Lonchura striata: one gene and its partner. The protein of the gene in region 2 purifies or fractionates together with the protein of the main gene of each other region. This does not show direct contact. Links are inferred from orthologs where the notes say so. Each region holds a gene or a part of one and is shown on either strand. Other genes may lie near its edges. The genes, in order: YIPF3 and organic cation/carnitine transporter 2.

The links.
Region 1: the proteins of organic cation/carnitine transporter 2 (region 2) and YIPF3 purify together in Homo sapiens (co-immunoprecipitation; 3 studies listed by BioGRID and IntAct, counting the BioPlex papers as one, with this or other methods). This does not show direct contact. The link is inferred for Lonchura striata from reciprocal best matches to the Homo sapiens genes SLC22A5 and YIPF3.

What each region holds. Positions count from the first base shown.
Region 1 is NC_134605.1:36,009,855-36,017,569, forward strand, and holds the start of YIPF3 (protein YIPF3), read right to left. Parts: upstream 3,641-7,715; 5' UTR 3,627-3,640; coding exon 3,546-3,626; intron 3,473-3,545; coding exon 3,266-3,472; intron 3,187-3,265; coding exon 3,080-3,186; intron 2,495-3,079; coding exon 2,449-2,494; intron 2,154-2,448; coding exon 2,061-2,153; intron 1,726-2,060; coding exon 1,594-1,725; intron 1,077-1,593; coding exon 963-1,076; intron 503-962; coding exon 379-502; intron 1-378. Other genes in the region: POLR1C (DNA-directed RNA polymerases I and III subunit RPAC1), read left to right, coding at 3,730-3,798, 3,890-3,961, 4,044-4,151, 4,673-4,805, 4,910-5,029, 5,196-5,348, 5,507-5,656, 6,166-6,282 and 1 more. UniProt on the Homo sapiens protein: Involved in the maintenance of the Golgi structure. May play a role in hematopoiesis.
Region 2 is NC_134617.1:10,714,413-10,722,127, reverse strand, and holds the start of organic cation/carnitine transporter 2, read right to left. Parts: upstream 4,859-7,715; 5' UTR 4,794-4,858; coding exon 4,401-4,793; intron 1-4,400. UniProt on the Homo sapiens protein: Sodium-ion dependent, high affinity carnitine transporter. Involved in the active cellular uptake of carnitine. Transports one sodium ion with one molecule of carnitine.

The DNA of each region.
Region 1 (7,715 bases), on a different chromosome or scaffold from region 2:
AAGTAAAAACGTATGATACATTTCCTGATCAGAGAAAACCAACCTGACTTCAACAATATTCAGGAAGGGGCTGGACATCTGCATGCAAGAAGAGTCAGTGCTGTTACACTTCACTTGTGGAGAAATAATTACGATCCTGCCTCACAAATTGGGTCTTAAGTGCTAAAACTCAGTGCACAGCAACTACCCCAATGTTTACCTGCTGCCCTACTTGAACAGCTTCTTCTAAAAAGCTAGTGATAGTGATTTTAGAGTTGGAAACTGGCACAGATGCCCAAAAGGACAGATTCAAACTGTCCATCCTCTCTCTCAGAGAGAGAAAAAACAACTTCTCTTCCCCCAGATCTAACAAGATATCTTTGTATCTCCCTTGCTTACCTTCTACCACCTTGTGATAAGCAAAGTGCAGATAGAGGAGGAAAAGCATATGCAGAGCAGCAAGAGTCCCACACAGGATGAGCCGCTGGGTATGTCCCACGGTGCGTGAAACCAACACAGCAACCTAAGAGAGAGGAGGTGATCAGAGGCAGGGCACCTGCTACCTGAGCCGCTGGCACTGCAGTCAGAAACACATGGAAGAACAGGTCAGGCAGTGAGAATCTGCAGGAACACCACACTAAGTCTTTTTTGCAGTTTTCACCAACAAATTTGGAGAAATTTGACACTGTTTTGTATAGGTGAACATTGCCCAGTCTTGCCAAGAGTTCAGGATGCTCAGGCATGGCTCTCCACAGCAGCAAGAGCTGTAAGGGAGTAAATAAACCTCCTGCAGCTCTTAGAATGGGTGAGGATATTAATCCAAATAGCACTTCCATATAGCAGTGGCCAAATTATTCAGGAGCATCATTTTCTCCAGAGCAGTTCGTCTGGCTGTGAAATGAACCACCAGGCCAAGGAACAGAAAGCAAACACTTCCGTCCCTTTTTTTGTCCCAGAAAGACCCCAGGCTGCTTATCCCTTACCATCCGTAGTGTAGAGAGTCCACCAACAACCAACCAGAAGATATAGAAGAGGGAGTGGAAGTGAATATTATAGGTGACAAAGAGAGTGATGCAGTGTCCGAAAAGACCGTAGCCCTGACAAAACAAAAATGTCCATGTTAGAAGCACCGGTCCCACACAAAGGGCCATTGATCAAGAGCACAAACCGCCTATTCTTGCAACACTTCACCACAGCAAAGCCTCACAAACCACTCATTCACTGCCGAACAGTCAACCAGAACAACAACTTCAACAGCAGCTCACACACAGATAATCTAAAGGATTCACAGGCATGTCAGAGATTGTGACAACATGGGAAACAGAGGAAATATCCTCCAATCCCAGAGAAACTGGAGTTTCCTGGCTTTTTACCACCAGGTTCTCAAATCAGCAAGTTCAAAGCAGGAGACCTGCATAACGAACTGCCTCTTTGTACTATTGTTGTGCCTGGGATGGTGCAGGTCAGAAGAACATCCCAGAATTCCAGGTTGTCCCAGTGCAGTTACCTGGGACCAGCAGTTTACAAAAAGACTTTGCCTGTTTTTTGGGAAAAACTTATTCTGGAACACCATGCAGCCAGTGTGCATCATAGGGCAGCTCCATGAGTACATACCAATAGTGACAGCATCTGCACCATTGTGATTTGGGCATTGCACAGATATGCCAGGAAATACATGAAAGATGAGACACCCAGCCAGTAACCGAAGCAGGTGCCAATGGCTGTGCCCATCAACGTGCCTTCCCTCTGTGGAGACAGTGTCAGGATGAGGAGAACTCAAAGAAGTGACCTGCCAGTACCCAAATTAACCCATGGGAGTCCCGACACTTTGTAGGCATTATTAAACAGCTGCCCAGCAGCATTCAAGGGGCCACAGGACCTACACCCCAAGCTCTTCCAGCAGCATAGTGTCAAAACTTTCTGGTACATCCTTCTTCCCACCTCCAAACCAACATCCTCAAATCAATCTTCATTTCAGCAAGATGCTTATTCAGTTATAGAAGAGGTTTCCTCTCCTTTTCTAGTGTCATGGCAACCCAGAGCCCAGTCAAACCACCACTTATCACTGAAACTCGACGTACAATGATGGTGTCTGAGGTCTTCATTCCATGCAAAAGAATGGCCACCAGTGTGAAAACCAGCATGAGGGGTCCATACAGCTCGCCTGCAATCTTCTACAGGAGGAGACAGGTGAGGGAAAGTTTGGTTAGAGCCCCAGAATATCAGGGTTCCCACCACAGGTGATGTGAAAAGTGCACTGGATGAAGTTTAGCACCCAGGTTATCACCTGAGGTTAGGTGACAGCACGCTGAGGTTTGGAACAACCATGGGAAGGAGCCACCAACATTTTCAGGAAGAAGAACATCTAACAAACTTAGTCCTTAATAACATGGATTATTACAAGTTTTACAAGGTGTCTGTGGGACAGTCACTTGGCCATGGAGTCTGATTCAGCAAAAGGGAACTCACCTGTGGGAAATTAATCATCTTCACAGGAATCATGGACTCCAGCAGTCTGCATCACAGGAAAGCAGGGAATGACAACAGGAGCAGCGAGAACAACAGGAGAATTAACAAAATACTTCATAAGTAAAAGACACCATATACCCATTACCAGTGTTTGCTATTGTGTTGACAGCCTTTGAGGGACAGTGGATTCTTTCTAAAGGGTGAGTCAAGGTCACTAAAGAACGAAAACCTTCCTGTCAAGTGGGTTAACTTTGCTGAGGAGGGGCAGATTTAATGAAAATATTTAGGGATCCACTCAGGGATGAGAGATCATTGACAGAAGAGCAGGAAGGAAAGGCAAGTTTCCTCATAAAGTCTCACAAAACTTTGCTTCGTTGGACACAGCTGTGTTGCAAACCCAACAGAAGCCACATAGGGCAGCCAAGTACAAAAAGAGTCCCTTCTCCTACACTCAGCAGCAATGCCAGGTGACAGGGCTGCCAGCCCAAGCACAGCACCTCGCTAAGGCGGGCAGGACAAGGCACGATGTGTCTGCCCATAGGTGAGCGTTCCTGCGGGGGCAACTGGCGCTCGCTCGGGCCTGGCAGCCAGACTGCTGCGGGCTCGGAGCCGCTGCCTCCCCGCAGCCCACCTGGCTCGCACTTGGACGGGCTCCACATCGAAGTAGGGCCGGAGGATGTCGATGTTGGCGTAGAGGCTGAAGGCCCTGGAGGCTTGTCTCTTCCCCACCTGCCACATCTGCGGAGAGAAGGAGCGGGCAGCGGCCGGGCGGGCAGGCAGGACCCGGGGCCGGAGGCTGACGGGGGACAGCGCTCACCTGGTCAGCGACCTGCCGGCCCAGCTGCCCCCGCAGCCCCTTCATGCCCAGGAACTCCCCGTCCTCCTCCTCCTCGCCGGCGCCCGCCTCGCCCTCCGCCTCCTCCTCCTCCTCCTTCATGCGCTGGTGCATCTCCCCCATGTCCTCGAAGCTGGAGCCCGACGTGTCGTCCATGTTCTCCATGTCGATGACAGCGGAGCCACCACCCTGCGCCGGGGCAGACTCGGTGTCAGCACCCCCTCGGCCCGGCCCGGCCCCGCCGCCCCCGGCCCGGCCCCACCTGCATGTTGTCCTCGAAGCCGCCCCATTCGGCGGCGGGGGCGCCGCTCCTGCCGCCGCCCGCCGCCCCCGGCGCGGCCATGGCGCCGCTCCCGGCCCCGCCGCGCTGGCCCGGATGGGCGGGAGCGGATGTGACGGAGCCTCCCGGCGCAGCAGCACCGCCAGCAGCGCCGCCCATCGCGCTCATGGCGGCGCGGCGGGGCACGGACGAGATGCGGGACCGCGTGGTGCTGGGCGAGTTCGGCGTGCGCAACGTGAGCGAGCCCGGCGGGCGGGACGGGGCGGGGCGGCCGGCGCCCGCACCCCCTCACCCCCTCACCGCCCCGCCTTGCCCTCTCCCCGCAGGTCCACACCACCGACTTCCCCGGGAACTACCCCGGCTACGAGGACGCCTGGGACCAGCGGCGCTTCGAGGAGGTGGGTGAGCGGCGCCGGGCCGGGGCTGCCCGTGGGTACGGGGCCCTGCAGCCGGCTGACCCGCGGTGCGCGGCTCCCACAGGCGTTCCGCGTGGACGTGATCCGTGAGGAAGAGGACGCCCTGGAGTTCGACATGGTGGGCATCGACGCCGCCATCGCCAACGCCTTCCGCCGCATCCTGCTCGCCGAGGTACCTCTGCTCACCTGGTGGTGCCGGCCTAAGCCTGGCTTGACAGGGAGCGTGGAATGTCCAGCATTGTCAGCCCTTGCGGACAGCTGCGGGCTTTGGAAGAGAAGCACACGTTCGTTCCGCATGGGTGCCAGGAGCCCAAAGAGAATTAGGACTTTAGCAGCATGGGCAATAGCGCCTGCTGGTCCTAGGGGTGCTTTGGTAGTGTCTGCGGGTCAGCCATTTCAACACAGCTGCGTGGCCAACCCAACAGAAGCCACATGATGCTGCCAAGTACTAACAGGTTCAGGATGCCCCAAAGCCCTTTTTCCTGTCCTTCATCTCTTGATTGTTTAAAAAGACGGGGATAGGAATAGATGTGGTGTACGGGTATATTGCATAGCCTGATTTGGTAGAAATACCACTCAAAATAGTCTGCTTGGCAGTTATTTGTGGGAGAGGAGGGACACTTGAGCTGCATAATCTCTTGGCATGTAGTTCAACTATTGTCTTAAGCTGACTTGATCTCTTGTCTCCTTGAGGTGCCAACGATGGCTGTAGAGAAGGTGTTTGTGTACAACAACACATCCATTGTGCAGGATGAAATTCTGGCTCATCGGTTGGGCCTCATCCCTATCCGAGCTGACCCTAGGCTCTTTGAGTACAGAAACCAAGGTGAGAATCTTGAACAGAATAGAAATATTGAAGGTTTCTCTCAAAGTAGGAAATCAGGGTTGTGTAAACTGAGCAGAAGTGTGATTTCATATGCTTCTTCCCAGGAGATCAGGAAGGCACTGAAATTGATACTCTGCAGTTTCAGCTGAAAATCAAATGCAAACGAAACCCTCAGGCTGCCAAGGAATCATCTGATCCTGATGAACTATATTTCAATCATAAAGGTGAGATTGCTCCTAAAAATAGGTGCTGTTTTTTCTTTTTGGTTTTGGGCTGTTTTCTCAGCCCTGTGTGCTCACAGGGAGAGTTGATTCCATTCTGCTAAACTTTCTTTTTGCTATCTCCAGTCCTATACAGCAGCTGGCTGATGCTTGTGGCTTCTCTTTGCAGTGTACAGTAAACACATGACATGGGTGCCCCTGGGGAATCAGACAGACCTTTTCCCAGATGCTGACTTCCGACCTGTTCATGATGACATCCTCATTGCACTGTTGCGACCTGGACAGGAAATAGATGTGCTTATGCACTGTGTCAAGGGTATAGGTGAGTCGTGGCTCCTGGGGCAGCGGGAATGTTTGGAGTAGGGCACTGCAGTGTGATGGGGAAGGGTGGAGAACTGGCTTTTCCCCTGGAACTTCAGGCCTGAGCATCCTTGTTCCCTGAGGCCTGCTCTCATCCTTGACTCTTAACTCTTCATACAGGTAAGGATCATGCCAAGTTTTCTCCTGTGGCCACAGCCAGTTATCGACTGCTTCCTGACATTACTCTCCTGCAGCCTATTGAGGATGAGGCAGCTGAGATGTTGCAGAAGTGCTTCTCCCCTGGAGTCATTGAGATCCAGAATATCAATGGTACTTTTTTCCTGCGCTAACTGCCTTGTTCCTTGCAAGCTTTAGATTGGAGCTTAGAGCCAAACTTTGCAGAAACAAAACCACATGTAATGTTGCTGTGCTGATCAATGGTTCATGTTCTTCCGAGCCTACTTTTATGGATGAGTAGCTGCCATGTGCAGCATGTTGGGTGACAAACACGGATGTCCCTGAAATAAATTGGATACCTGTCCGCAGAGCTCTGCAGCTGTTGACTGCAGCTTGCAGTGCTGTTCAGTTGTGACACTGGGTAGTGAGCTGGAAAAGCAGCTGAGTGTGGAGACTTCTTGTATCTTTCTGGGGTGCATGTACGCTTTGTGTTTGGGTTTTCCTGCCAGGTTAGACTTTCATGTTGGGTATATGCTAATTCTTTTTATTGGTGTCTCCCAGCCTTTGGTGAGGAGGGAGTGCCTGTTTGAGGTAAGCACATGTTGTGACCATAAGGTATCCACCTGCTGCAATTTGTCCATCTCGTTTCATCTTCCCTTTAGGAAAAAAGGTGGCAAGAGTAGCCAATGCACGGTTGGACACATTCAGCAGAGAAGTTTTCCGACATGAGAGTCTGAAAAACCTCGTACGCCTGGCAAGAGTACGGAACCATTACATCTGTAAGTGCCTCGTTTTCCACAGAGTCCTGACATGGTTTGTGTGAGCAAGCAGTGACTGACCAGCATGCATGGCTGGCTCTGTGCCTCTTCCTACCCTCAGCATCCATACATTCAGAACGCAGTGAGTAACTACTTGCTTTGGGATTGAATCTCTTGGTGCTTCCTGCTGGCAAAGGGAGCCGCTTGTCTGGCTGTGAAGATCTGGCTTGTTGCTGTGAGGTGCAAGGGAAGGTGAGGGCCAGCAGCATGGAGCCAGGGGCATGGAGGCTGAGGCTGCCTCGTGGCTGTGCTGACTTGTGTCTGTCTCTGTGCAGTTTCAGTGGAGTCGACAGGTATCTTGCCTCCAGATGTGCTGGTAAGTGAAGCCATCAAGATCCTGATGGGAAAGTGTCAGCGTTTCCTCAATGAGCTGGACTCTGTGTCTATGGAGTGACCGGGCTGTAGCTGGGAAAGCAGAAACCTGCGCTGCTGTTCTGCGCTTCCTGCACCTGCCTCTAGGGGGGATTCCTCTTCCATAGGCAGGAGGCTTGTTAGGGGCTTCTTGCTAGGAATCCAAGGACTATCTCTTTGGATTTTTCTGATGGTAATGAGCTGTAGTGAGAAGATGCACTAAAATAAAGGCTTTTTTTTAAAAAAGCTGTCTCCTATGCCATTCACAATTGTGAAACCATAATACATGGAGGAGAGAGCGGCAGCATGTCTAAAGATGAGTAACAGCATTTATTTTAGATGGTATGCAGTGAGGAGGACTGATAGGGCAGCATCATAAAGCACTTCACAGTAGGTCAGTGAGGTTCAGTAAGTTGCTATCAGAGCACGGCTGTTTTGTGGGCATTTCAAACCAGCTCAGGGATAGTTAATATAGAAAAGGCTGTACTGGCAGAGGACTGGAACACCTCTCTTATGAAGAAACAGAGAGCTGGGATTGTTCAGCTTGGAGAACAAGAAAGCTCCAGGGAGACCCTGTTCTGGCATTTTAGTATCTAAAGGGGGCATGAAGAAAGACTTTACCATGGTCTGTAGTGACAGGCTAAGGGCCAACAGTTTTGAACTGGAAGAAGGTAGACTTATATTGAACATTAGGTATTTTTTACAATGAGGGTAGAAGTAAGTTATCACAGGTTGCCCGGAGCTGTGAATGCCCCATCCCTGGAAGTGTTTGAGGCCAGGTTAGATGCAGCATGTAAAGAGTTGAAAATGTCTGGGAGTATTGTTGTGTCCCAGTTGCTGAAGTCAATGCACGCTATAGTGCTAGACCTCAGCAAGTAAGTAGAACGAAAGTTCTGTTTCGTTGGGGTAGAATTACTTAGGAGTGTAAACATCCTGTTAGGCTCAATATGCTGTAGGGAGGAGGTACACTTGGCATCCTGGCTCCAAACCCAACCTGTCCTATGCCATGCTGCAGACCCAGGCATATGCTGCATGTGCCTATC
Region 2 (7,715 bases):
CCTTAGAGACAAAACAATTTTTACAGCTACAAGATACTGTGTCTCCACATTCCTTCATTTTTTTAAAACTCTTTTCCTCTCTTGCTCAGAATAACATGTATAAATGAAAAATTAAGTGGCAAGTTCCGTGTATTAATATTTTCTTTTTAAAAATCAAGACTTTTTGAAGCTGGCCCAGTACCCTGTATTCCCTCCTTCCATTGCTTCTCTTAGCAAGTAGAGGCAGGTTCTTCAAAAAATCTCCGTCCCATAGCCAAGTACTGAGAACCTTTGAAGCTGAATGTGATTTTGTTTATATCCATACAAGTATTCTCTGCTTGTACTCTCTATTGAGAGCTGTGAGTGTTATTAAACACCCTTTCCTCTAAAAACACATTTGTATATTCAAAATACTTAAAAGGTCTGGATGTTACATTGAAAATTATTATCTAAAGCAAACAGAAGTCTGTGTCTACAAAATACGCATTCTGCTTAATTTTCACTCCTCTAGTTGTTTTACATTTTTTACAGAGATAAAGCTTGCATAGAACAGGAAGGAAATAGACCAATATTTTACAATTCCAGTGCAGAAATGGAACTGTTCCCCATACATCACATTTTTGAGATAGCTGGAGAGAAAGGAAACAAGGGCACTGCCATCACCTGAGGTAAGTTTGAATTTAAAAGTAAAGGCAACATAAAGGAAATTTTACCTTGTCACTAACTGTCCACAGTGCCTCTAAAAGAGCACTGTTTCCATTTAACAAGATCAATTGCAGGCCTACTATTCTTTAACAATGTTAACCTTACTTTATGTTGTGATGTCAGAAATAGCTGTACTTTTTACAATTCCAAACACTACTGCATGATGTGCTTTTTAAATCACACCTTGAAAAACCCAGCATTTTGCGAATACCTTTGTTTATTTGTCAGACATTTGTATTTACTTACTAAACGAAAACCAGACTTTCTTTTCCTTCTTCTGACAAGACTAGTAATACTAAGCTTTTGCAAAGCTGCAAACGGCTTTTTCAGCTCCTAGGGCTCCAAAGTTATGAGTATAAACTTCATCTACAGTGATAAGCAGATATTAACCCACAACAATAAAAAAGAAGCACCTGTTTTAAAAGATGATAAATAATGGAGGTGACTAACATTAATGAAAAGATGGGTGAGAGCTGAACCTGGATAACACAAGGTTGATTTACAATTCAGCTGCTGGCCCCACTCCTGCAACAGCCTGGTCTAAAGCAAGGTGTCCCTAAAGGAAGGGGGTTGAAATAGGTGATATTTAAGGTCCCTCCCAATCAATAAAAAACAGTCTATGATTCTATGACTCTATAAATTACAACATCTAGCATAAGTCTGTGTTTTTATTTTGGCAAAGTGAAACAATACATCCCTCTGTCTTCCAGCAGGGTGAACATGGAAACCTCTGGATACCCAGCTGTGCCCCAGAGCCCATTGGTGTCCTGCACATGTCACTGCTGCAGTCTCCCCTGGCTTCCTGCAGCCCTGGCATAACCCACTCATCTCCAGGGCCTGTGGTCTGACAGCACAGCAGGGCACTTGGATCCCTGGGGTGTGCAGAATGGAAACCTCTGGGCCCTTGTCTCTGCCCAGAACTTTCCCTCTCTGAACACCCAGACAGGATGGAGCACCAGCCCTGCACATAACCAGCCTCTAGACACCTGGCAATTCCCACCATGTCATCCTTCCTCTGCAAAAGCCAACAGGCCCAAAAGTTTGCCAACAGCAAAACAGGCACAAAGCATGCAAAAATCTGGCATACACCACCTGCACTGATTTCAAGCTGATGAACAATACAACACCTTTTTAGAAGCTAAGGATGAATAGGTGTATCCAAAATTCAGCATCTGTTTATGGTTCACTGTTTAAGAATTACTCTTGTGTGAACTAAAATGTTCTGACTGATGTATCATCTAACACCTCATTATATCATATTTCTAGTGCACTCATGCCCTTAACTGCACTGCTGAATTCTACTCCTGGTATAGCCCCATAACAGCTCTGACTGCTAGAAGTTAATATTTTCCCTTAATTACTCCTGGTTTAGTCCTTTTACTACCATGTATAAACTTTTACCATTCCTACATTCATTTTTTTACACAGACTTATGGAGGAATTAGAATGACACAGTTGGTTTCTTGAGCCAAAATAAAGCCCTTCTTATGCCCTGAGCTACAGCATTTCAAAAAGTAAAAGACAGAAAGGGATTCTGTTACACCAAGCTGGTTAAATACTGCAGACTGGCTAATAATAACCTTCTGTTGTTAGTCTGTGAGAAAAGAAAGTCTCTCTTCAAGTAGGAGAGAACTGAATGTTTTAAGTCTCCCCTGAAAAGCAGAACCATAAACAAGGTTTCTCTAAAGTCATGAGAGATTCAGCAAAAACCTTTCTTAATAAAAAAAAATCCCCCTTCCCCCTCCCAGTGTCAGCTATGGAAATCTGGGACAAAGGTCCTCATGATTATTCAACATGTTAGAGATATGCAACTAAACACAAGATTAGTTAATCATAAAAGCAGCACCACCAAGCCAAGAAATTAAACAAGTTAAACACTGAAAACCTGTAAGTGTGTGAAAGGCCACAGCTCTTTCAAAACTCCCTCAGATGCATTCATATTAGAGGAGAAAAAAATACTGCCTCAGTGCATGATGCCTGGGCAGACAAACATTGCCTCCCACGGGCACGGGACATCTGCCAAGTCACACAGACAAGGAGCCAGGCCTGGGCAGTCTCAGCACTGTGTGTGAGCAGCACCCTTTTCTTATAGACTGTAAAACTCCTGCACCATACTCCAATAGCTCAAGACATTTTCATTAACATCAAGCCAAAGCTGAGTGAAGCTCTAAAGAGAAAGCACTAGATCTAAGCCAGGATCACAGCACAGCACTGGGAACACCCATGTGCCCCTGTGAAAGGTCTGCCCCAGAAGATGCCAACTGCCTGACACTGCCCTGAGAGTACTCAACCTTTCACAACAGCCTTTCCAGCAAAGACTGGAGCTGAGACATTCCCAGCAGCTTTCCTCTCCAGTAAAACAGCAATTCTTTAGGAGCAGATGAGGCAATGCCTTGCACTTGTCAGAATCATTCAAACCCTTGACTGAGTTTCCTACAACTCCTGTGTCACCATTTCTAATCCTCCTTGTGCTGCCATGGCTCCTTAGTGCCCAGATCAGCTTATGGTCCTTTAGTTCTCACACCCATCACTGTCCAAACACTGACCACAGCCCTATTTGCAAAACAAGAAATCATGGCAGGTTTGTTATGGAGCTCCAGCTCCATAAAACTCAATGGGACTGTACAGGCTTTGTGAGCCTTCTGAAAAAGGCCTATACTTGTATTGAAACTCAAGTGTTCCTCAAAAGTACTTCTCAAAACCCATTTCCTTGCTTCTGTGGGTCTGCACAGCTTTCATCTGAAAGCAGTGACAAGCAGCTCAGCTTCACCTTTGGTAAGGTTACCCACAGCCCAGACTTGATGCAAGCGGTGTACCTGCACAGACACAAACATGACCTGTCCCAGCACGTGAGCACAGAGACCAAAGCAGAGGCACTGTGGGCACACAGTTCAGAGTCCTTTGAATAAAGCATCAAACCAGGCCTCCCCAACCCGTGCATCTTGCACAACTCAGGGTGACGCTAAACTGTGAGAGTGGTGACACACTGGCACGGGCTGCCCAGAGAAGCTATGAATGCCCCATCCCTACAAGTGCTCAAGGCAAGGCTGAACAGGGCTTGGAACAAGCTGGTCTAGTGGAAGGTGTTCCTGCCAGGGGGTTGGAACTAGATGTTCCTTAAGGCCCCTTCCAACACAAACCACCCTGTGATCCTATGAGTTCTACCACCTTTATTTTTTTAAAGAAAGAAAATAAACATAAAACTTGATGTTCAAAAAGACATCTCTATCACACCAAGCTGAACCCAGTGCTGACCCTGCTCCAGCCCCTTGCACGGATACCCGATGAACCAAGATTTGCAGAGTGATCAGTTTCGCTGGGTAAGGAAACAGGTTTCACTTGGAAGCTCATTATAGAAACAAACAATGTTAAGGGATTGGAATGGACATTATAAAGATCATTCAGTCCCTGCCACGGACAGGGACACCTCCCACTAGAGCAGGTTGCTCAAGGCCTTATCCAACCTGGCCTTGAACACTGGAGATCCACAACCTCCCTGGACAACCTGTTCCAGTGTCTCATCACCCTCACTATAAAAATTTCCTTCCTCGTTCTTATGCAAATGACAGTGAACAGAAGACCCCAGAATAAACTCGGCATGGCAGGTTTAGCAGCAGATCAATGAGCCGGCAGAGAACGCGGCGGAGCTGCAGCGGCACTGCGATAACCCCGCGGCTCTCCCGGCACGCCGGGATTCCCCTCCCGCTCCCGCGCACCTCGGTGACGATGGTGGAGCGATAGACATCGCGGCTGTACTCCCAGCCGTCCAGGCACGGCTCCAGCTCCAGCGCCTCCAGCTCCACGTCGGAGCCGGGTCGCAGCCCCAGCGCCGAGAAGTTGGCGAGCGCGGCCAGGCGGTAGCGGCGGCAGCGGCTCGGCACCTCCTGCCCGCCCCGCAGCTCCAGCGGGATGCTGGCGTTGCGCCACTCGCCGCTCAGGTTGGCCCCGCGGGGCACGGCGCACCGGTGCTCGGGCGTGCCGGCCAGGAACACGATGGAGAGGCCGTTGAAGCCATTGGGAATGATGCTGGCGCTGAGCAGAAAGAAGACGAGGCGCTGGAAGAGGCCCCATTCGCCCAGGAAGGCGGTGGCCGCGTCGTAGTCGCGCATGGCGAGCGCGGCCGAGCTGCGGTGCCGCGGCTCCGAGAGGCGCGGGCAGGAAGCGGCCGCCCCGCTCGGCCGCGCGGCCCCGCGCCCGGCCCGGCCCGGGGGCGGGCCCGGGGAGGCCGCGCCGCCCGGCGGGGCGGGCCCGGGGCGCTCCGCCCGGAGGCGCGGCGGGGGCTCGGCCGGGCCGGGCCGGGCCGGGCCGGGTGCGCCACACGCGGCGGGGCGGGCCGGGCCGGGCCGGGCCGGGTGTGCCACACGCGGCGGGGCGGGCCGGAGCCGGCCCTGCGCCCGGGCGCTTTGCGGCTCCCGCCGGGCCCAGGGCTGCGCGACGGCTGCCCTGCCCTTCGTACCTTGCAGTCAGGAACGGCCAAGAATTCCAAATCCAAAGTGGAGGTGAATTGTAGTCAATGAGGTTGGACAGGACCCCGCAGATCATCGCGTCCAACCTATGACCGAACGGCATCTCGTACCTCCCGTGGTGCCGCCGGTGCCACGTCCAGCGCTCCCTCGGACACGCGCGGGGCCGGGGCTCCGCCAGGGCCGTTCCCGCAGCGCCGGCCCGCGTGTGAACCCTTCGTGGGGAGCGCCTGCTGTGGGCTGGTACCGAGCCAGGAGCCTGCAGGCATTGCCCTGCCCATCAAAGCACGGCGGTGCTGCGAGCTCAGCAGTTAAAGGGCTCCTCTGTCACTCTGTGTCACTCTGTAGCACCTTCCCACAGCTGCCATTGTCCCTTCAGCAGGCTCAGCTGAAGCTGTAAAAAAGCTTTCCTGACCCTGACGCTATTTTCGCAGGCAATGCGTACTACATGCTTGACAAATAATAAATTTAATAAATAATATTCTAATCCCAGGCCCAAAATCCCAGCTCAGTACCTAGCGGTATAGGCAGGAAGTTCACAGAGTCCCATACAAGGCAGTTCAAAAGCTGAATTGCATGACTGCAGAAATTTGATCCTGCTCTTCATAAAGCTAACTCACATTTTCAAGTGTCTTCTTTTTCCCACCACTAACTGATAAAAAAAAAAATAGTGTACCTTTTACAGCATTTTTGAACACTTGTATTTAAAATGATCTTTTATCCCTGGGTTGGAATCACATGGTTGTGAAAAATCTCAAAGGTGGAAAATGAATGACATAATAGGAGTTAAATCACAAAATCATCCTTGAGCCTGGGTGGGGTCAGCTTCCAGGGATTTGCACCTGAAAGGCAGAAAAACTGTACCACGCCATTAAAATCTTCATGTGTGGAAGAACTTAGTCGGTGAAAGAGCTTATTTCAGGATTTTTTTTCATGCCCAATCCACGCTAAATACTTTTTCTTATTTATTTATTTAAAATTCTTGGCACCAAGTGTTTATGTTCGGAGACCTGCTCTTCAAATAGAATCCACACAGGACAAAGGTTGAAACAATGTCAGTGCACATTTTTATTGCAATGAAAACAGAGGGCGATGACTGACAATTACTACAATTTCATATAATTATTAGCAGACCCAGCAAGTCAGCTGAGGCCAAGGTTGCACAGAGAGACCCCAGTAAAGGTGACAGAGGTTACAGATGAGGCACAGGGTGATGACCCTGTCAGTGAGAACAATCCAGCTGGGGCTTCCCTCATTTCCACTATGCTCAGACTCCATAAGGCCTTGTAACAACATCACATAATTTTAATAAAGACATTCCACTCCCCTGAAAGATTATTAAATCTGCTGCAAAAAATACTATGTGATGCTAGCTTGAGATCAATGGTTTAAGTAAGAAAAATGAGACTGGTTATAACATGGTATTTTAAATACACTGTACTTTTTCTTATTTAAAAAAGGAAAAACAGGTTTTAAGATACTGAAAGGTTCAAGAGTACAAAAATATTTACCTTTTAGAAATACCCAAGCCTACAATCGCATAAAATAAGTCTCAAAATAACAATCTTCATAAAAATATGGCCACCTATATAAAACTCAAGTCCTCAAACCTGTCCTATGCTGATAAAAAGGCTCTCTTGAGAAATTTAGTTGCATCTAAACAATACTTCTTTAGATTAACTCTGTAAAAGTAAAAGCAAGATTAAATACTGCTGTTATTCGAGAAATTGACTAAGAAGGGATGAGAAGATCAGGAGTCACAGGTTCCCTTATGCCATGTTACATTTATGGCAAAAGCATAATTGCAGGAAATTAAAAATAGTATTTCAACTCCCAAAAGCAGCTTGAGTTAATTGCACAAGTTCCTTGCAGTTGTTATAAAGCTTTATATTTGTGCTTGAACTTCAGGGAGAGCCACATTCTTGTGCCAAGAGCCAGCACAAGACAATCTACCCTGAACTCAGGCATTAGAGATGAGACACTGTGCTTTTGTTAGCCCTTATAGAAGGTGAATCAGGGCTAATTGTTATTTATAGAGGATAAAAATCAGTCTATCAGGTCTGATAGACTATAAGTGACCAATAAGTGCACATACAGCCAATAAATACAAAAACAAGAGGAATTACACTCTTCAGACAATGTAGTGTTCATAAAACAGTAGTAGCACAACTCTGAGTTCTACGTTTATCTTCATCCAATCTAGCTTTGCTGAACTCAAAAAAACCCAAAAAAACCCAAAACATACATAATCTGTAGGATTTGAAAAACAAAACACTGGTTTTGTTGGTGTTTGGGGTTTCTTTTAATATAAAAACCTCTGTGGTCTCAAATTAGTCCTTTTGAATTTTTAATAGCCGCAGGTGACCATATCCAGTACAGAAAATCAGATTTTTGTGAGCATCTAATTGTCTTTAAGTTTGTAAATCTTATAAAGGTTTTGTGAATGCTTTTGAAACTGCAGTGAGGGTTCTCTGAAGGTGCAGAACAAAGTGGTATATATTCAAAGGAGAAATTAAATACTTTGGGAAAAAGAAAAAACAACACCCCAAGAGAGCTAAAAAACAGCTT